Callithrix jacchus: one gene and its partner. The protein of the gene in region 1 interacts with the protein of each later gene in a biochemical or structural test. Links are inferred from orthologs where the notes say so. Each region holds a gene or a part of one and is shown in the gene's direction. Other genes may lie near its edges.

Region 1 (10,107 bases):
ATCCTCCTGCCTCAACCTGCCAAAATGCTGGGATTACAGGTGTGAGCCACCATGCCCAGCCTAGGGAACTTTTGGGAAAATGGATATATTCTAGATGTTGATATGGATGTTGGTTGCACACACATTTACTCAGATAAAAATGAATCAAGTCCTCATGAATGTAGTCTTAGCACTTTGGGCAGCCAGGGCGGGTGGATCACCTCCTGATCATGGAGGTCAGGAGTTCGAGACCAACCTGGCTACCATGGTGAAACCATGTTTCTACGAAAAACAACAACAACAACAACAAAAATTAGCTGGGCACGGTGATGCACACCTGTAGTCCTAGCTACTCAAGAGGCTGTGGCAGGAGAATCCTTTGAACCCAGGAGCTGGAGGTTGCAGTGAGCTGAGATGTCGCCATTGTGCTCCAGCCTGGGCAACAGAGTGAAATACAAAACACAAACAACCCCCAAAATGAATCAAGTCATACACTTAAGATTGATATATTTTTCTGAATGTAAATTATGCTTCAAGAAACAAACCCTTCCATGCACAAAGTACTTAGGGTGACTTCTGCTTCCTGCAGTGAAAACCCGATTTTGGGAGAGGAGCCCTAGGACAAGAGATAGCAAGAGACTCTGAGAGCAAGCAGGGCACCAGCAATGTGGCAAGAAGCTGGGAGTATGGAGGGATGTGACCAGGGAGAAATCTGTGTTGGGAGAGGCCTATGAATTTTAGGAACTCTATATCTAACTGTCAAGGCATGTCATTGCCAAGCAGCCTGTGTCAGTGGCAGGCAACCAGCCACACAACGTCCTGAGGCCTGATGAGAGGGCTGCGCCAACTACAGGGCCAGACAGTCCCAGAGGAGTATCTGGCTGCAGCAGGGACTGACCCAGGAGCTGCTGTGAGCCAGGCCCCCTCCTTTTCCTGAGATCCCTGAGAGGTAAGCCAGGCTCATGGCAGACCCTATTATGTCCCACATCATGGCTGGAACCATCTCACATGGCTGGTCAAGGTAAGGATGACCCCAGGAAGCCAAAGGACTTGGATACTCTGTATTGTGGGGAAAAAAATACACTAAAAAAGTCACCAGCAGTCACCCCTGGGTGGTGGCATTATGGTTTTTTTGCTTTTTTGAGATGGAGTGTCGCTCTGCCACCCAGGCTAGAGTGCAGTGGTATGATCTTGGCTCCTGGGTTCAAGCGATTCTCCTGTCTCAGCCTCCTGAGCAGCTGGGGTTACAGATGTTGCCACCAAGCATGACTAATCTTTGTAGATGGTGGCATTATGAATATGGATTTTGGTTTTCTTCATCAAATATTTCTGTTTTCCCCACATTAGCTGTAAAAAGTATATATATATGTAAATAAGTTGACAGATTGAACAAATTGAACAGTTTAAAGAATAGCTGTGTAAGTGCAGTGGAGTCTGCCTGTGGTCCTAGCTACTTGAGAAGTTTAGGCAGAAGGATTGCCTGAGCCCAGGAGTTCAAGACCAACTTGAGCAATGTGGTAAGACCTTTGTTTATTTTTAAAATAAATAAATAAAAAATAAAGAATAACTGTTTAAAATATTATTCAAAATGAATTCATAAAGGTGGGATTATATTTTTAGTCTCAGTTTCCCGAAGGACTCACACCTGAGAACATGACCATGTTTGGGGCTCTCTGGCACTATCTTTGGGCCTGACCTCTGCTCTCTAGGGGGAAAATGAGCTGGTGGTTGCTGAGTCATCATGTATGGGTCACATCCTCCTTGGGAGGCCTGGAGACATGGGCCTGTCTGTGATGAGATTTAGTGGGCAGGGGGCAGCTCCAGGGCCCTCACTGGGGGCAGCCTAGGGCATAGATCACTCTCTGGACTTGCTCTTCTCCTAACAAATGGACAATGATCAATGAATTATACCCATGAAATAGGGTGGGACACAATAAAAAATAAAAGATAATATAAATAGCCAGATAGGGTCAAAGATGATTTATTTTACTTTATAATTTTGAAATGACTTCAGATTTACAACATAGTTGCAAAAATAATGCAAATGTTTACATCTTACATAACCCAGTGCAATGATCCTAACACTGACAGATAATCGTTAACTAATCCAAAAGCCTTATTCGGATTTTGCCTGATGTCCTTTTTCTGTTTCAGGATCCAACAAGGTTCCCATATTGCATTCAGTTATCATGTCACTTTGGTGTCCTTTTCTCTGGAGCAGTCGCTCAGTCTCCTTGTCTTTCCTGACCTTGAAATTTTTGAAGAGTTATTCTGCAGAGCGGTGCTATCCAATAGAACTTCCAGCAATCATGGAAATGTTGTTAGTGTTGCTCACTATGAAGCCATTAGCTACATGAAAATAGCATTTGAAATGTGGCTCGTGGGGCTCAGAAACTGGCTTCTAAGTATTATTTAATTTTAATTAAAATAGCTACATGTGGCTAGTAGCCACTGTATTGGACAGGACAGCTGTCAAATGTCCCTCATTTGGGGTTTGCTTACTGTTTCTCTATGAGTAGTTTCAGATCATGAGCTTTTGATAGGAATACCATAAGCATGTCGTTGTGTTCTTTATCTAAATTTTTATAAAAGCTGTTGAGGGCCTGGTATGGTGGCACATGCCTGTAATCCCAGCACTTTGGGAGGCTGAGGTGGGTGGATCATGAGGTCAGGAGATCCAGACCATCCTGGCCAATATGGTGAAACCCCGTCTCTACTAAAATACAAAAAAATTAGCTGGGTATGGTGGTGCACACCTGTAGTCCCAGCTACTCAGGAGGCTGAGGCAAGGGAATGTCTTGAAACCAGGTGGCAGAGGATGCTGTGAGCCGAGGTTGTGCCACTGTACTACAGCCTGGGCGACAGAGCAAGACTCCGTCTCAAAAAAAAAGCTGTTGACAGGTGACAGGGAACTACCTAGTCAGGCAGTGGGATTGTTTTAATGCCCTTTGAGGTCCAGCAAAGAAAGGAGTGATAGCCGCATTTGGAACCCTGTCCCAACACTTTCAATGTTCTTCCTCAAAGAATTAGATATGAAGCTGCTAGAGCACAGTGGGGAGCAGGCAAGATTGATTCTTGAACTAATCAACATTTATGCCCTCTTGGCTAAACTAGGCAGAGCTGGTTTTATTACAGTACAGACGTGAATAAGCACACTTTGTAAATGCTGAAGGTTGTGAAATATCCACAGGGCTATAAAGTACAGTATAAAAACCTCACCTGAGGCCGGGCCTGGTGGCTCATGCCTGTAATCCCAGCGCTTTGGGAAGCGGAGGCGGGTGGATCACCTGAGGTCAGGAGTTCAAGACCAGCCTGGCCAACATGGAGAAACCCCCTCTACTAAAAATAGAAAAATTAGCCGGGGGTGGTGGCGTGGGCCTATAATCTCAGCTGCTCAGGAGGCTGAGGCAGGAGAATTGCTTAAACCCAGAAGTAGAGGTTGCAGTGAGCAGAGATTGTGCCATTGCACTCCAGCCTCGGTGACAAGAGTGATACTCCGCCTCAAAACACTGGCTTTGGAGTCAAGCCTGTACTTAGGCATCTTAAGTCTTCTTTTTTAAAATTGCAGTATATAGTAACACATGACCTTCAGTGAGTGTACAGCTAATACATTTTTACATAGGCTTTAGCTCTGGTATGCAGTATATAGTAACACATGACCTTCAGTGAGTGTACAGCTAATACATTTTTACATAGGCTTTAGCTCTGGTACCCACCACTCACATCAAGATGTAGAATATTTCCACTCCCCTAGAAGGTGTGCATCCCTCCCCTCCCCCAATCGACATCCCCCAGAAATTACCAGTATTTAATTTATACTTATGTAGATTCGTTTTGTCTGTTTTTGAACTTTATATGACTGGAAGCAGACAGAATGTGCTCTTTAGTGTTTGGTTCCATTCACTAAGCACTATTTAGCTGCTGGTGCCCACTCAACTGTGGGAAGATCCTCCTATGTCTGTGTGTCAATAGTTTGTTCATTTTCACTGTGGTATACTATTCCATAGTGTGATTACACCATAGTTTGTCTTTCTGTTTTCCTGCTGATGACCATTTGCGTTTTCGGATTTTGCCTATCATGAATAAGTCAGTACAAACATTATCTAGGTGTATGTTTCTAGGTAGATATATACCCAGGGGCGAAATTGCTGGGTCATAGGATTAGCATACGTTTAACTTCAGTAACAACTGTCATTTTTCCAAATCTCTTTTTTCTTTTAAGATGAGGTTTCACCATGATGGCCAGGCAGGTCTTGAACTCCTGACCTCAGGTGATCCACCCACCTCAGCCTCCCAAAGTGCTAGGATTACAGGCGTGAGCCACCGCGCCCGGCTCCAAATCTCTTAAACTCTTTTTAAAACAGGAAGAATAAACCTACTCTACCTGATTATCGTGAGCGTATTTAATGAACTCTAAAGAATAAGGTTTTAAGCCTTGTGCCTGGAAGACAGTAGGTGCTCAATAAGTGCTGGCCTCTGCCCCAGCAGGGGAAAGGCGAGGCAGAAGGCAGGAACTGCGGGAGGTACCCGCCCCATACCGTTGGGCGGAAGAGGCCTCTCCCACGCAGCACTTAAGTCACCCCCAGCCTGCCCGTCAGCCAGTTTGGCGTGCCTGCCTTGGGCCTACCCACCCTGCATTCCGTCGCCCGCTCCCGTTCCCACAGGCCCGGCGTGCGCGTCTCCTGCCTAGGCATCCTTGCCCCTGTGACTTCAGCGTCTCCCAGCGTTTGCTGGACACTAACTGTATGCCAGGCCATGAGGCTGCAGGAGAGAACGACACGAAGATCCTCGCCCCTCAAAGCTCCCGGCAGGAGGAGGGGCTGCTTCACTTGAGAAGCGTGGGGATGGAATTCTCAGCCCGCCAATGACTCGGAGGCCGGCCGCCCGCCTGGTTTCTGGCCGGACACTGGACTTCCCCTGGAAGTTGCTCGAGACGAACAAGGGAAGAAAACAATCCGCTCTCCCGCGCCCCCAGCAGGAAATCAGGTCGATCCTCCGAGCCTAGTCCTGTGTGTCCCCGACCCGCAAACCAAGGCCCAGCGCCCGCCCCCGCCTCTCCGTCCCTGAGCCTCCAGCCAATCACGCGCGGCCGGGAAGCCCCGCACCCTCCTGTTGGCCAATGGCCGCGCGGCCTGCCTGCCCCGTCCCGTCGCTGCGGGGAGGGTCGTAGGCCCCGCGCGGCTGTCGCCAGGTCGCAGGGCCGGGGCTACCCGAGGTAAGATCGCCGCTGGGGCCCTTGGTCCTCTCTGCTCAGTACACACGGACGCCTTTAGGGAAGGTGGCTGCAGCGGAATGACCGCGTCAGCCGGGGCGCCCTGGGTCTGGGGCGCTCGGGGTTCGGGAAGAGCCGGCCCTGAGGCGCACGGGGTTCGGGGACACTGAGGGCTCCAGGCGCCGCATCCAGCACCGGGGAAAAGGGGTAGGTGGCGCTGGGCGTCTGCTCTGTCTGGGGGAAAGGTAGAGCCGGAAGGGCACGGGCAGTGGCCGCTGACCTCCTGCTGCCCGCAGGCCCAGGGTGACTCTAAGGGGGGGCCGAATCTCGACGGGCCGCGCCTTGGGCTCGAGTACTGCCGCCCTCCCCTGGGTGTGGACAGTTCTCGGCGGCGACACCAGCTCAGAAGAGCTTCCCGGCGCTCCGCGGACCTGGGTCTCGCCCAGGAATCCGATCCGAGGCTGTGAGGCCTGTCCCTTTCGGGAGGGTGGGTATTTATTTCCGGGACGCACTCAGAGCCTCTGGACAGTCAGGTCGGAAACTTTGCTGCATCGAGAACACTCTGTCACCTCCTTCCTTCTCAGATGGGAGAGGTGCCAGGAAAACAATGAAACAAACCAAAACAACGAAGAAGGCATTCTCTGTATGGAAGTCGTGAAGCCTCAAAACTATCTAGGAGGACAGCCAACGACTTGGGACCTGTGGCCGCAATGTGAGGGCAGGGTTAATGTCTGATCTAAATGTTGCTTCCTCCCAAGTGCACCCTCAGCCTCTCCCCACAAGTGACCTTGGGCCCTCTTTGGGCTTGAAGGCAGGTGGCTCTGTGGGCCTCACTTGCTGCAGGGGTCTCTGTGCCCTGCAAGGTGTATGACCAGCTGCAGTGAGGTAGGAGATTCTGGGTTCAAATCCTGTGCTAGCCTCTGGCCAATTGTGCACCTTGGCATCACTTCCCCTGTCACGGGACTGGGGAAGGATTAACTAAAAGAACCTTAGGATGTGCTTGTCTACAGTTGGCCCTCAATAAATGTGAACAGACGTGGGCTTCCTTTCCTTTTGGTTGGGCTACATCATCCCCTCCCCTCCATGTGTGTTGTAGGGGCTGAGGCTAGAGTGCCTCATCTGATTGCCTCCTGGTACCTGGCTGATGCCATGAGAAAGGAAGAAGAAACAGTGTTTTGTTTTTTTTTTTTAATGGAGTCTCACTCTGTTGCCCAGGCTGTAGTGTGATAGCCTGATCTCAGCTCACTGCAACCTCTGCCTCCCAGGTTCTAGAGATTCTCATGCCTCAGCCTCCCAAGTAGCTGGGAGTACAGGTGTCTGATGCCATGCCTGGCTAATTTTTGTATTTTTAGTAAAGACCGGGTTTTACCATGTTGGCCAGGCTGGTCTCAAACTCCTTACCTCAAGTGATCTGCCTGCCTTGGCCTCCCAAAGTGCTGGGATTACAGGCATGAGCCACCATGCTTGGCCAAGAAAGGGGTCTATTAACTGTCACAGAGTTGGTTTTTGCTCTTTTTTTTTTTTTTGAGACGGAGTCTTGCCCTGTCCCCAGCTGGAGTGCAGTGCATGATCTTGGCTCACTGCAACCTCCACTTCCCGGGTTCAAGTGATTCTCCTGCCTCGGCCTCCCAAAATGCTGGGATTATAGGTGTGAGCCACCATGCCCAGCACTTTGCTCATTTCTTGAAGGCTCAGAGCCTGACCCTCCTGAACTGTCCTTTGCACTTGGCCCACAAGGAATGCAGCAGTGCCTGGTGGTTGGCAAAGCAAGTTGTGCATGTGAGACTCTGAGGCCTGTGACAAGACTGTTTCCCCTGTGAGTGGGGTTTGGTGGCCCAGCAGCTTTCAGGTGCTGTCTGCTCCGCAGCACTGCCTCCTAGAGGTCTCATGCTTGCCTGATGCCCACTTGGTCCTCTTCTGCCTCCTTCCCTCCCTGACAGCCCACTAGGAATCCAATAGCATCTCAAGCTTCACTGTTCAAAACTGAGTTCTGGAGTTCCTTCTGAGCCACTCCTCCTCCCCTGGCTTCTCTGCTCTGGTAAATGGGCACCTGCCATCTACCCAGTGCCTAAGGAGTCATCCTTGATTTTTTTCTCTCCCTTATCTCCTACACCCTCAAAACACCAGAAATCTGGCTGCCTCCTGCCAACTCTGTAGTTTCCATCCTGGCCATAATCATCCTGTCTCCTCGGCTGTGGCCTCCTGACTGGTCTCCCAGTTTTCATCCTGGCCCCTCCACAGTTCTCACAATTGTCAGAGAAGTCTTTAATGTAAATCAGATCCTCTTCTTTCCCTGCCAGAACCTTCCAATTGGTCCCTGTTTCACTCCAACTAAAACCCAGAGTCCTTTCCTACAGCACCCTACGTGAGTGGTCCCTTTTACCTCCTTGACCTTCATCTTGCCCCTCTCCCTAGCTTTCTTAACCTTGACCACACTGACCTGCTTTCTATTCTTCAAACATGCCAAGTTCATCCCACTTTAGGACTTTTGCATTTACCATGCCCTCTGCCAAAAACACCAATCTTCTCAGAGCCTTAGAACGGCTCAGCTGTGTTCTTAACACTAGTTCAGAAAGGCTTCTTTGACCCCCTAGTTCAAGTAGCATGCCTGTCTCCAGGGGATGTGTCTCTTTACCTGCTTTATTTTCTTTAGAACCTTTATTGCTATCTGGAATTCTTATTTGGGTAAGAATTTACTGATCTGTTATTTGTTCCGCACCGGTAGAATATAAATTGGATGTGGCACAGACCTTGTCTCTTATTCCCTGCAGCATTCCCTGATGGGGGAGGCAAAAAAGAAACAAGCAAAAACATCTATAATTGCAAATTGTGGTAACTCCTACTAAACAACTGGTAGCAATAGCTTATATTTGAGGCCCTTAATTTTTTTTTTTTTTTTTTTAGACAGAGCTCCATTCTGTTGCCCAGGCTGAAGTGCAATGGCACGATTTTGGCTCACTGCAACCTCTGACTCTCGGGTTTAAGCAATTTTCTTGCCTCAGCCTCCTGAGTAGCTGGGATTGCAGGCGACCGCCACAATGCCCAGCTTAGTTTTTTGTATTTTTAGTAGAGATGGGGTTTCTCCATGTTGGCCAGGCCGGTCTCAAACTCCTGACCTCAGGTGATCCATCTACCTTGTCCTCCCAAAGTGCTAGGATTACAGGTGTGAGCCATGGCACCTGGCTGGCACTTAAAATTTTTAAACTTAGGCCGGCCACAGTGGCTCACACCTGTAATTCCAGCACTTTGGGAGGCCAAGGCAAGCGGATCACTTGAGGTCAGGAGTTCGAGACCAATCTGGAAAACATAGTGGAAACCCTGTCTCTACTAAAAAATACAAAAATTGGCCAGGCACGGTGGCCCACAACAACAAACAAAAAAGTTAGCCAGGTGTGATGGTGGGCTCCTGTAATCCCAGCTACTTGGGAGGCTGAGGCAGGAGAATTGCTTGAACCTGGGAGGCGGAGGCTGCAGTGAGCCTGGATCACACCACTGTACTCCAGCTTGGATGACAGAGGGAGACTCTGTCTCCAAAAAAAAAATAGACTTAGAAGGCTGAGTTACTGTACTGTCAAAACAAGCTATCTGAGCCATTTTAAGGGTGAGGAAAAGTCTGGAAACTGGTAACTTGCCCAGGACACACAGTGAATTCAAGGCATGGAACTCAGTCTCCCATCTTAAGAATGTATGTGGGCCGGGAGCGGTGTCTCAAACCTGTAATCCCAGCACTTTGGGAGGCCAAGGTGAGTGGATTACCTGAAGTCTGGAGTTTGAGACTAGCCTGACCAACATGGAGAAACCCCGTCTCTATTAAAAATACAAAATTAGCCTAGCATGGTGGCACATAATCCCAGCTACTTGGGAGGCTGAGGCAGGAGAATGCCTTGAACCCAGAAGGCAGAGGTTGTGGTGAGCTGAAATTGCACCATTGCACTCCAGCCTGGGCAACAAGAGTGAAACTCTGTCTCAAAAAAAGAGAGAATGTATGTGTAGCAGGCTTTAATGGCAGGCCTGCAGCTATGTCATGGAAAGAAGATGACCTGAAGATCTCAGTTCTTTGCTCTTCTACTAACTAGCAAGCATACCTCATTTTCTTCTTTAAAGTAGGATGAGCCTATTATTATCATGTTGGGCTTCACTTTTAATTTTTTCAGTATGTCCCAAAGCAGCAGCACTTTTAGGTACAGCCCTCTTGCGTATCAGCTTGAGGGCCTTAGAGCCAGGAGGAAAGCCAGGACATTCATAGGCACCGAAACTATGGTTACATACAGATCCCTCTACCACATGTGCTAGGAGTACACGCAGACCTCCCCAATGCTGACCACCCTACAGGACAGAAATGGGCCCTAGGTATTCTGGATCTGATTCTTTTTGGTCATCAACTATTTTTATTTTTTATTTTTTTTAGAGACAGGGTTTTGCTGTGTTGCCCAGGCTGGCCTCAAACACCTGGGCTCAAGAGATCCACCTGCCCTAGCTTCTCTAGTAGCTGCTGGTCATCAATTCATTTTTAGCAAATTCTGCGGGAACCTTGGAGAGACCCAGGCAGTAATAAAATAGGATGTTTAAAGAAACTAAAGATGGCTGAGCACAGTGGCTGACACTTACAATCCAAGCTACTTGACAGGCTGAGGCAGGAGGATCACTTGAGGCCAGGAGTTTGAGACCAGACTGGGCAACATGACAAGACCCTGTCTCTAGAAAAATTTTAAAAATTAGCTGGGTGTAGTGGCACAAGTCTGTAGTTCCAGCTACCTAGAATGCTGAGGCGGCAGGATTGCTTGAACGCAGGAATTTGAGGCTGCACCACTGCACCCAACTGGGGTAACAGAGTGAGACCCCATGTCTTAACAACAAAAAAGGTGGGCGTGGTGGTTCACGCCTGTAATCTCAAATCCTGGGAGACTGAGGTGGGT
Region 2 (10,043 bases), on another chromosome or scaffold:
TCCTGGCCTCAACCCTTCATTAAACGTTGTCCTACCCTCTCTCCACTTGACCATCCAAAGAAAATACAGATCTAGCTTCTGATCCCAGTGCCCCACCATTCCGTAACTCCTGTCCTTGCCAAGGGGTGGGACAGACGCCCATCACCTTTTGGTTAATGACTTCTGCCTCCTCCTCCAGCAGGGCCACCAGCCTCCGCAGTAGGGCTTCCTTCTCTGTGAGCGGGGGACCCTGTAACTCTGCAGGCAGAAGAGAATTTGGCTGGGGGCCAAACCCTGACTATCCTCCTACCCCCATCCTTCTCTGGGGCCCCTCTGCGCCTCACCTGGGCTAGATGGAGATTTTAGTTGCTCTTCAACCAACTGTTCTAGCCGCTGGGCCACCAAGGCATAAAAGTCTGGAGTAGCTGGGCCTGGGTAAAGAGAGTTCATGACAGGATTCCAGGACACTGGAAACATAGATTCTCTCCTTCCCCCGACTACTTTGGCAGGTGGCAATGATTCTCATTTTATAATGGGGTAAACTGAGGCCCAGTGAGAAAACTTGGTAAAAAATGTCAAAACCCTTGCACTTTTCACTTTATCATATCCTCAGACTGGACTTAGAACGTCAGAGTTGGCCGGGTGCAGTGGCTCATGCCTGCAATCCCAGCACTTTGGGAGGCCAACATGGGAGGGTCACTTCAGGCCAGGAGTTTGAGGCCAGCCTGGCCAACATGGGAAACCCTGTGTCTACTAAAAATGCAAAAATCAACTGGTATGCTGGTGTGCACCTGTAATCCCAGGCACTTGGGAGGCTGAGACACAAGAATCGCTGGAATCCAGGAGGTGGGGGTTGCAGTGAGTCGAGATTGTACCACTGCTCTCCAGCCTGGGTGACAGAGCAAGATTCTGTCTCCAAAAGATGGTCAGAGCTGAACTAGACCTCGAAGATGATCTCATCCAAGGAAGGCAAACACAAGACACTACTGTTAGTATCCCCTTCCCTCACCCACTTCAGACATCACCAATTGATCACAGCACTTCCTCTCCCTAGCTGTGAACCGCTTTCAAGCTAGCACTCCCAGCAGCCATAACTAGTGCATCCAGGTTCACACCTACGAGGAAGCTTGTTGGTTACTCTTGATCAAGTCCAGTGATCTCCTCTCAATTCCTACACTGTTATGGAAAAACAGGGGAGCCGGGCAGCAAGCATTTTCCCTAGAGTCACACAACTAAAACAGCCAGGGTGACGTGATGGAAAACCTCTCCTGCCTCTCTATCAGGGGTATTCCTGGCTACAAAAGTCCTAGGGCAGGGAAGTAGTTATAGAAGCAAAGAGACAACAGCCAGAGCGACCAAATGCTCTCTGAAAACCAACCCACAGAACTGGCAGAAATCTGACTAGGGAGGGGAGAGGACAGGTTCCGTCCTGAAGGCTGGTGTCAAAGACTCCACAAAGCCACTCACTAGCTGAGTGATCTTCTATTTTTTTTTTTTTTTTTTTTGAGACAGAGTTTCGCTCTTGTTACCCAGACTGGAGTGCAATGGCGCGATCTTGGCTCACCGCAACCTCCGCCTCCCGGGTTCAGGCAATTCTCCTGCCTCAGCCTCCCGAGTAGCTGGGATTACAGGCACGTGCCACCATGCCCAGCTAACTTTTTGTATTTTTAGTAGAGATGGGGGTCTCACCATGTTGACCAGGATGGTCTCGATCTCTTGACCTCATGATCCACCCGCCTCGGCCTCCCAAAGTGCTGGGATTACAGACTTGAGCCACCGCGCCTGGCCTATTTTTTTTTTTTGAGACAGTCTTGCTCTTGTTGCTCAGGCTGGAGTGCAGTGGCACAATCTTGGCTCACTGTAACCCCCGCCTCCTGGGTTCAAGTGATTCTCCTGCCTCAGACTCCTGAGTAGCTGGGATTTCAGGCACCTGCCACTATCGCCAGGCTAATTTTTGTACTTTTAGTAGAGATGGGGTTTCATCATGTTGGCCAGGCTGGTCTTGAACTCCTGACCGCCTGTGATCCGCCCACTTTGGCCTCCCGAAGTGCTGGGATTACAGGCATGAGCCACCGTGCCTGGTCATAGTTAAATAATCTTAAACTACTACCTTATCCCATGTTCTGCCACTTTCACAGATGATCATGGAAATCTCTTACCAGGCTCTGAACCGTAGCAGGGGCGGATGGGCAGAGAGCAAGGCCGAGGGGACTCAGGGGGGGCTGCTCCTCGCCCCAGGGAGCAGGGAAGACATCTTCGAAGGCGGCTCAGGAAGTCTGTTGGCTCTTCTGGGGCAGGGCTTCTGGGGAGGAGGACTTCAGAGAGTGACCCCACCAGAGATCCTCTGTAAGTCACTTTTCTCAACTCACTCCCTCCCCCACTGAGGACCTCTCTCCAAAACCCCAAAGACAGAGAATAGAGTCAGATATAAAGAGAGGAGAGAGACTGAGACCAGGAGCAAGAGTTAGGAGGGGGCCTCAAATCCTGGCCCCTCGGGGAGAAGCACAACTCCTGTTACCTGGGTGAAGTTGCAACAGGAGACCCGGCAGTCTCACCACGCCTGAGGAAGGCAGCTAGGACCCTCAGCGTGTCTTCCCGGAGACCCAGCTCTTCTGAGCCTGCCATGGAGGCACCTATGAGAGAGGGGGCTAGGGACTGAACTCCAAGGATTTATCGAGAAGTGGAGGCTTGAGGACCGGGAGTTGTGAGTCCCAAGGAAGGTGATGAGGGCCCGGACTCCTGGGTCCTTTGGAGAGTGTGGGTCTGGGCGCTTAGACTCTTGAGTCCTCAGACAGAAGAGGGAACAGGACAGACTCATTAATCCAAGGAAAGCTAGGGGGTGGGTGCCCAGATTCGTGGACCTAAAGGAGGAGGGAGCTAGGGTCCTAGATTCCTGAGTCTTAGAGAGAAAGGAACTGGAGCCCCTGACCCTTATGTCTCCCAGGGAGAAGGGGCTTAGCGCCCCAACTCCTGGATTCTGAAAGAGGTATATGCCGAACTACTCAAACTCTTAAAGCATCGGGAACTACCAATCCCAGCAGGCTTTACGGCAAATCTTCTCCTCGGTCCCCGCTTCTTCGCCGCACAGCCTGCTGGGAGGTGTATTTCCAAATCTCCTGCTCCTGGAATATACACTTGGATGTCGGAGAAGCGGGACTGGGTTCTCACTCCTGCATCCCGGCCGCCTCCTCTTCCCTCCACACCCCGACCCTCGGCAACACTCCGCTGACCTGGTCCGGGGCCCCACCGCCGCCACCTCCACTCAACTTGCCGCCTTCTTCACTCAACTCGTACAAAACTTTCTAGGTCAACTTTCCCGCCCCTGCGCACTGGGCCGGGTGGGTAACCGGCCCAACGTAGAAAAGGCGGAACGCTGGCTGCACGCTCAATTTGCATTTGACGCTCCCAGCATGCCTCTGGCCGGAAAGCCGAAAAAGGGCATGGGGGCGGGGACAGCCCGGGCCCTACGGCCTGTCCCTTCGGCTCTGGGTTCTGTCACTCAAAGAATGATAAAGTTGTTTTTATTTCAAGAAGTCGTTGGAAAAGAAAGTCCCAGCGCTCTAGAACTCAGCTGACGGGAAAGCGGGTGTTCAGCCTCGAGTTTGAGAGCTACCCGGAGCCCCAAGACGGGTGGGCTCCAGCTCCCCGCACGCCCCGACCTTCCATCGTAGGTAACGCGGAAGAGCCCGGGAGAGCGTTGGTGGCGTTCGAGAACGAGGAGCGGGAAAGATGATGGGTCTGTACGGAAAGTGGAAAGGCAGGCTGTATAATCTGGGGAAAGTGGAGAAAGGAGGGAGTGGCCGGCGCTGGAGGTCTGTTGCAGAAAAACTAGAAAAAGTAGGGAGGGAAGAGAAAGAGGAGGCGTCTACACTGAGGGAGATCTAGAGAGGGAGGGGTGGACTCCGCAGATGCGGGCAGTTCGCTCTCGAAAGCTGAGGCGTGCTCTGGAGGAGGGAGGCTGGCAGTCGAGGGAGCATTGTGGATGGAGGTTCTGCGTTGGAAGTAGGTAGGGGATCTTCTCTAGGGGGACTGTGGAAGGGGGTCTACACTGGGCTAAGTGCAGGCGGTAGAGGCTTACAAGTGAATCGATTCTGCACTGACATAGCTAGGGAAAGAGATGTTACCCTGAAAGTGGGGTTACTTGCTTTCGATATGGGGAAAGAGGGGGTCTACACTGGCAGAATTGAGGGAGTGGAGGGTCTGTACTGAAGTCGCTGGGGAAGGGTGTGCCATGGATAGGGGAAGGAACCCTAGCTGATTAGGGAGCCTCTCTGGCGGATGGGAGGATGGGAAGAGGAGGTTTCCTGTTTGTACCCCCGAAAACATGGGTGAAGGACCTGTGCCGTAGCCCATGACAGGGAGTTCTGGGCGCGGAAACTCCAGGCCAGGTGGGTCCAGGAGAGGCCGGCCGCGCCCAGGAAATGCCCTGTACGCGCAGGCCGGACCATGGGAACCCCAAAGCCACGGATCCTGCCCTGGCTGGAGTTGCAGCTGAATCTGGGGCAGCTGGAGGGTGTGGCCTGGGTGAATGAGAGCCGCACGCGCTTCCGCATCCCTTGGAAACACGGTCTACGGCATGATGCACAGCAGGAGGATTTCGGAATCTTCCAGGTGCGTGCGACCAGGGACGCTGGAAACCAGGAGCTGCGCGCTGGGCGGGAAAGACTCCGAGAGGCAGGGTTGAGAAGGCGGCGGTAGCGCGCGAGGGGCGGGCTCGTGTCAACGCTGGTGGGTGGGGCCAGAACGGGAGGGGCGGGGCTAGCCGGATCAGCTGACTGATGGGGGCGCCGGGAGGGTCGGAGTTGCCGGTTCCGGGAATAGAACTAGAACTGGGAGAGCCGGGTTAGTACGCAATGAAAATGCATCCTATGGGTTTGGAGCTCTCTAGGGGCCGGGGTTCCTAGTAGTAGGATCCTGGGGGATTGTTCTTGAAACATCAGAGGTGAGACTTGGAGCCCCAAATCTGGGGTTCCTAACCACCGAATTAGTATAAGCCAGACGTGGTAAACAGTGTGAGGGACGAGGTTATCACCGAGGGTGTCCTGAGGCAGGTGGTGCACGGGGTTAGTAGGACTTGAAAGCCTGGCTTAGAAAGAAAAGGTTTTTGGGGGGCGCGGTGGTTCACATAGAATCCCAGTACTTTGGCAAGGCCGAGGCTAGAGGATCGCTTGAGCCCCGGAGTTTGAGACCAGCCTGGGCAACACAGGCCCCGTCTCGTTAAAAACAAAAGAGGTTTCAAAGGCTTTTGAAGAGGCGGGGCGCGGTAACTCACGCCTGTAATCCCAGCACGTTGGGAGGCTGAGGCAGGCAGATCATTCTAGAAAACTAGAGGTGGGGATGGAGGTAGGTGGGATGGGGGGATTTGGGGATGGACCTTGCAGAGTTACAACTTGCCAGGGAAAGAGGGTGGTGTTAGGATGCCGGAGACAGGGTTGGGGCTCCGGGACAGGATCTAGGTCGTCCTCTCTCACTATCCTCACACCACTGTTGCCCCAGGCCTGGGCTGAGGCCACTGGTGCATACGTTCCCGGGAGAGATAAGCCAGACCCGCCAACCTGGAAGAGGAATTTCCGTTCTGCCCTCAACCGCAAAGATGGATTGCGTTTAGCAGATGACCGAAGCAAGGACCCTCACGACCCACATAAGATCTACGAGTTTGTGAACTCAGGTCTGCCAGATCGGGGTCAGTGTGGGAGGCTGGGGTCCCAAGGGTTCCTGGCACCCCTAGCCACTTCAACACCTTTCTCAACAGCAGTTGGGAACTTTGCCCAGCCAGACACATCTCCAGACACCAGTGGCGGAGGCAGTACTTTTGATACCCAGGTAAGAATGTGCCCAACCTTCACGCCCCCACTGTCTGTCCTGTTCCCATGGACTCATCCTCTCCCTGTGGACCAGTGCGCCTCCCTCACCTCGTCTGCCCCTCACCTGAGCCAGTGCTGGCCCTGTCTGTCCCATGCTCCAGTCTCCTCAGGAGAAAATTCAGTCTTCACTTGGCATTGAAGGCACTCAATTTGCATTTGACACGCCTTCCCGGGATTTCCTGTAGATCCTTGATTGGCGGGGGGAGGGGGGGAGTGGGGGGACGGCTGTCTGTCAGCCTCTTGGGAACTGAAAACCTCCCTCCCTCCCCTTGATCCTGCCGCTGTCAGAGCCAGGGGAGCATCCCCTCTGAAATTCTGCCCAGGCCTTGCCTGCAGAAAGCCAGATCCTGGGGTTGGAATGGTAGCATGTGGCATTCATTAGAGTGTCTATTTGGCTATTGATGCCCGTGGCTGCCACTGTCCCCAGACTGGAAGCCCTCTGAAAGCAGAGCTCAAGCCTGACCTCCCTGCACTGCTGAGAACAGACCTGGTCCACATTTAGTCTCCAGAAAAGGCTGTGGAAATGCCTAATTCTCTTTTTGTTTCCCTCTAGGAAGACATTCTGGATGAGTTACTGGGTAACATGGTCTTGGCCCCACTCCCAGATTCGGGACCACCAGGCCTGGCTGTAGCCCCTGAGCCCTACCCTCAGCCCCTGCTGAGCCCCAGCTTGGATAATCCCACGCCCTTCCCAAACCCGGAGCCCTCTGAGAATCCACTGAGGCGGCTGCTGGTGCCGGGGGAAGGTGAGGGTCAGCTGCCGGATAGGAGGGGCTGAGGTCTGGGTAGCAGTCCCTGACACTCTCTCAATCCTTCTCCCCTTCACGCTGCTACTGCCGCTGCTCAGAGTGGGAGTTCGAGGTGACAGCCTTCTACCGGGGCCGCCAAGTCTTCCAGCAGACCATCTCCTGCCCAGGGGGCCTGCGGCTGGTGGGGTCGGAAGTGGCAGACAGGACGCTGCCTGGATGGCCCATCACACTGCCAGACCCTGGCGCATCCCTGACAGACAAGGGCGTGATGACCTATGTGAGGCACGTGCTGAGCCGCCTGGGTGGGGGACTGGCTCTGTGGCAGGCCGGACAGCAGCTCTGGGCCCAGCGGCTGGGGCAGTGCCACACGTACTGGGCAGTGAGCGAGGAGTTGCTCCCCAACAGTGGGAATGGGCCTGATGGCGAGGTTCCCAAGGACAAGGAAGGAGGCGTGCTCGACCTGGGACCCTTCATTGTAGGTAAGTGAGATGGGGGCTTTGCCCTGCCCAGGAGGAAGCAGCCCATTAGTGGTTAAGATCTCAGGATTAGGACTGAATTCAGACCCTGGCTGTGCTCCTCCGACTGTATAACCCGAGGGAAAGGACTTTGCCCTGAGCCCACGGAATCCGAGGACGGTCTCTTCTCTCTACTTGCCTGCCAGCGCTGGGGTGAGACCCAGGCCGAGTACGTAGAGCGTGCTCAGGAATTAGCTCCCACTGTCACCATCATCGTAACTAATGATGGTGGATAGAGCAAACAGCAGGAAAGCTGCGTGCCTTAGGGAGTCGCTCTGCGGCGGAGCGCTCCACGATGATGGAAATGGCCACCTACGCTGCCTGGTACAGCAGCCACTAGCTACAGGGCCCAAGCACTCAGGTGAGGCCCGTGCCACCAGGACGTGGTTCGCTTTAATTAGTTACAGTTTAAACTTAAGTGACCTCACATTGCCGATGGCTGCAATTAGTGCAGCCTTGGAGGAGACTAAATGGCAACCAGCTTCTCCAGATTCACTGAGCATCCTTGGGGGAATGGGCCCCTACTCTGGACCTGTCATGAATGCTGAGGCTTGGGGGCTGGGGGGGTTCAACCTTCCAACAATCCCACCCTGACGGGAGGGAGGGATTAAGTACAAAAACAGGATCATGGGGACTTTCCCCAAACAAGCATTCCCTGGTGGAGGTAGCAGAGGGCCTCAGGTCGGGGGAGGTAGGGGGTGCTATTTTCAAGTTTATGGGGAAGCAGGGGTAGAGGGACCTCTTCTCACCCCTGACTAGGCTTCTGGGTTCCCAGATCTGATTACCTTCACTGAAGGAAGCGGACGCTCACCACGCTATACCCTCTGGTTCTGTGTTGGGGAGCCATGGCCCCAGGACCAGCCATGGACCAAGAGGCTCGTGATGGTCAAGGTGCCTGTAGCCCTGAGTCCCTGGGGCTGAGAGGGGTGGCCTTACAGAGGGAAGAGGCTGCTCCCAGGAACTGCAACTCCCAGAAGGCCCTCCAAAAAGCTGCAACTTCCAAGAGCCCTGCAGTAACCAGCTGTTCATCCCCAGGAGCTCCTTCCCATGGCCCCACCAGCAGAGCCTGTTTTCAACTTTCTAAACCAGCAGTCCCCGAGCATTTTGGCACCAGGGACCAGTCTCATGGAACATAATTTTTCCACAGAAAGGGAGGGGGTGGCTTTGGGAAGAAACTGCCCCACTGCAGATCATCAGGCATTAGATTCTCATAAGGAACAATCTAGGTCCCTCTTGTGCACAGTTCACAAAGAGTTTGTGCTCCTGTGAGAATCTAATGCCACCGATCTGAGAGAAGACCGAGTTCAGGCAGTAATGTTCCCTCACCCACTGCTCATGCCCTGCTGTGCCCTGGTTCCTAGCAGGTGATGGGGTTGGGGACCCCTGCTCTAAACCATGTAGAAGCTGGTGGACACCAAGTCCTAGCTGCCATTGTGAGGCCATGGCTGTGGCTCCAGGAGTCAGGATCATAGATTGCTCAGCCTTGACTCCTGGGAGCACTCTGGCCTGGCACACGCACACGCGTGTGTGTGTAAAGAGGGGAAACTTGGCCGGGCGCGGTGGCTCAAGCCTGTAATCCCAGCTACTCAGGAGGCTGAGGCAGGAGGATTGCCTGAACCCAGGAGGCGGAGGTTGCAGTGAGCTGAGATCGTGCCATTGCACTCCAGCCTGGGTAACAAGAGCAAAACTCCATCTCAAAAAACAAAAAAAAGGGGAAACTACAACTCCCAGCAGCCCAGGGCCTATGGTTCATCCTGGCTTACAGCGGGGGCTGAAGGGAGTTGTAGTTCTCCCAGCCCTGACTCCTACCTCGGTGGACACTGGCTGGGTGTTTTCCCTGACTCCTGTCCCCACTTCCCCCACAGGTTGTGCCCACATGCCTCAGGGCCTTGGTAGAGCTGGCCCGGGCAGGGGGTGCCTCCTCCCTGGAGAACACAGTGGAACTGCACATTTCCAACAGCCACCCACTCTCCCTCACCTCTGACCAGTACAAGGCCTACCTGAAGGACTTGGTGGAGGACATGGATTTCCAGGGCCCTGGGGAGGCCTGAGCCCTCACTCCTCATAGTGTGGCCTCTAGCCCCCCCTCCCCGCCCACCACCCCAACCAATAAACTGGTTCCTGCTGTAGTCACTGCTTGTGTGTCTGGTGTTGGGTGCCCTCTGACCCAAGCTGCTTGATATTCCTGGTCAGGGTCTCAGTTTACCCATCTGTGCAGCTGTGCACAACTCAGGTGCTCAATGCATGAGGACCAAGCACTGCAGGGGACAGCTGACCCTCCTCACCTCTTCCCAGGGACCTGCTGGGTGATGGCTGCCCCCATTTTGTAGACCAAGACACAGGCTTCGAGAGGCACAAAGTTGAGGAAACACAAAGGCCGGCCAGAACTGAGGTCCCTGCCGTGCTATGAAGTTTGGGCAAACAGCCCTTCTCCTTCCAGGCCTCACGCCCCCCGTGTGGGGCTGGAGGGGAGCAGTGCTAGAGAGGCTCTGCTGCCACTCTGGGGCCTGCGAAGCCTGCCTGCCCTCTGAACCTGGGCACTGTCGTCTCTCCTGGCTGGGCCTCAGTTCTGGGTGATGAAAGTGGCAGAAGCCAGTATAGCCCTACTGCTCTGTGCCTCAGTTTCCCTCTCGAGAGGGTGGCTGAGAACACTCCAGCTTCACAGGGGCTGCTGAAAAGAGAAGCCCACTCGATGGGGAACACAGATCCTGCTTTTGGGAGCAATCCCAAGGCGGGCACATGGCACCCAGGGGCCCTGAGCTGGGAGGATGCTGATCAGGTGTGGCCCCAACCCCGCTACTGTGAGCCACTTGCTCCCTGCCAGAGACGATGCTAAGCACTCCACCTGTGTCTTGTTCAATCCTCACAACACCCACTGTACAGATAAGGAAAATGAAGCCCAGGGGAGGCAGCTACCCCAAGTCAGTCTGGTCTGT

The links. The genes of interacting proteins can lie anywhere in the genome.
Region 2: the proteins of MAVS (region 1) and IRF3 form a complex in vitro, tested with the Homo sapiens proteins (2 studies listed by BioGRID). The link is inferred for Callithrix jacchus from reciprocal best matches to the Homo sapiens genes MAVS and IRF3.

The regions. Positions count from the first base shown.
Region 1 is NC_133506.1:11,365,088-11,375,194, forward strand, and holds the start of MAVS (mitochondrial antiviral-signaling protein), read left to right. Parts: upstream 1-5,090; 5' UTR 5,091-5,398; intron 5,399-5,775; exon of another isoform or gene 5,776-5,903; intron 5,904-10,107.
Region 2 is NC_133523.1:43,424,851-43,434,893, reverse strand, and holds IRF3 (interferon regulatory factor 3), read left to right. Parts: upstream 1-3,421; 5' UTR 3,422-3,708; coding exon of another isoform or gene 3,709-3,715; 5' UTR 3,716-3,887; coding exon 3,888-3,981; intron 3,982-4,417; coding exon 4,418-4,590; intron 4,591-4,739; exon of another isoform or gene 4,740-4,821; intron 4,822-5,475; coding exon 5,476-5,647; intron 5,648-5,731; coding exon 5,732-5,802; intron 5,803-6,396; coding exon 6,397-6,589; intron 6,590-6,690; coding exon 6,691-7,071; intron 7,072-7,882; coding exon 7,883-7,998; intron 7,999-8,972; coding exon 8,973-9,158; 3' UTR 9,159-9,236; downstream 9,237-10,043. Other genes in the region: BCL2L12 (bcl-2-like protein 12), read right to left, coding at 324-410, 2,139-2,281, 2,498-2,604.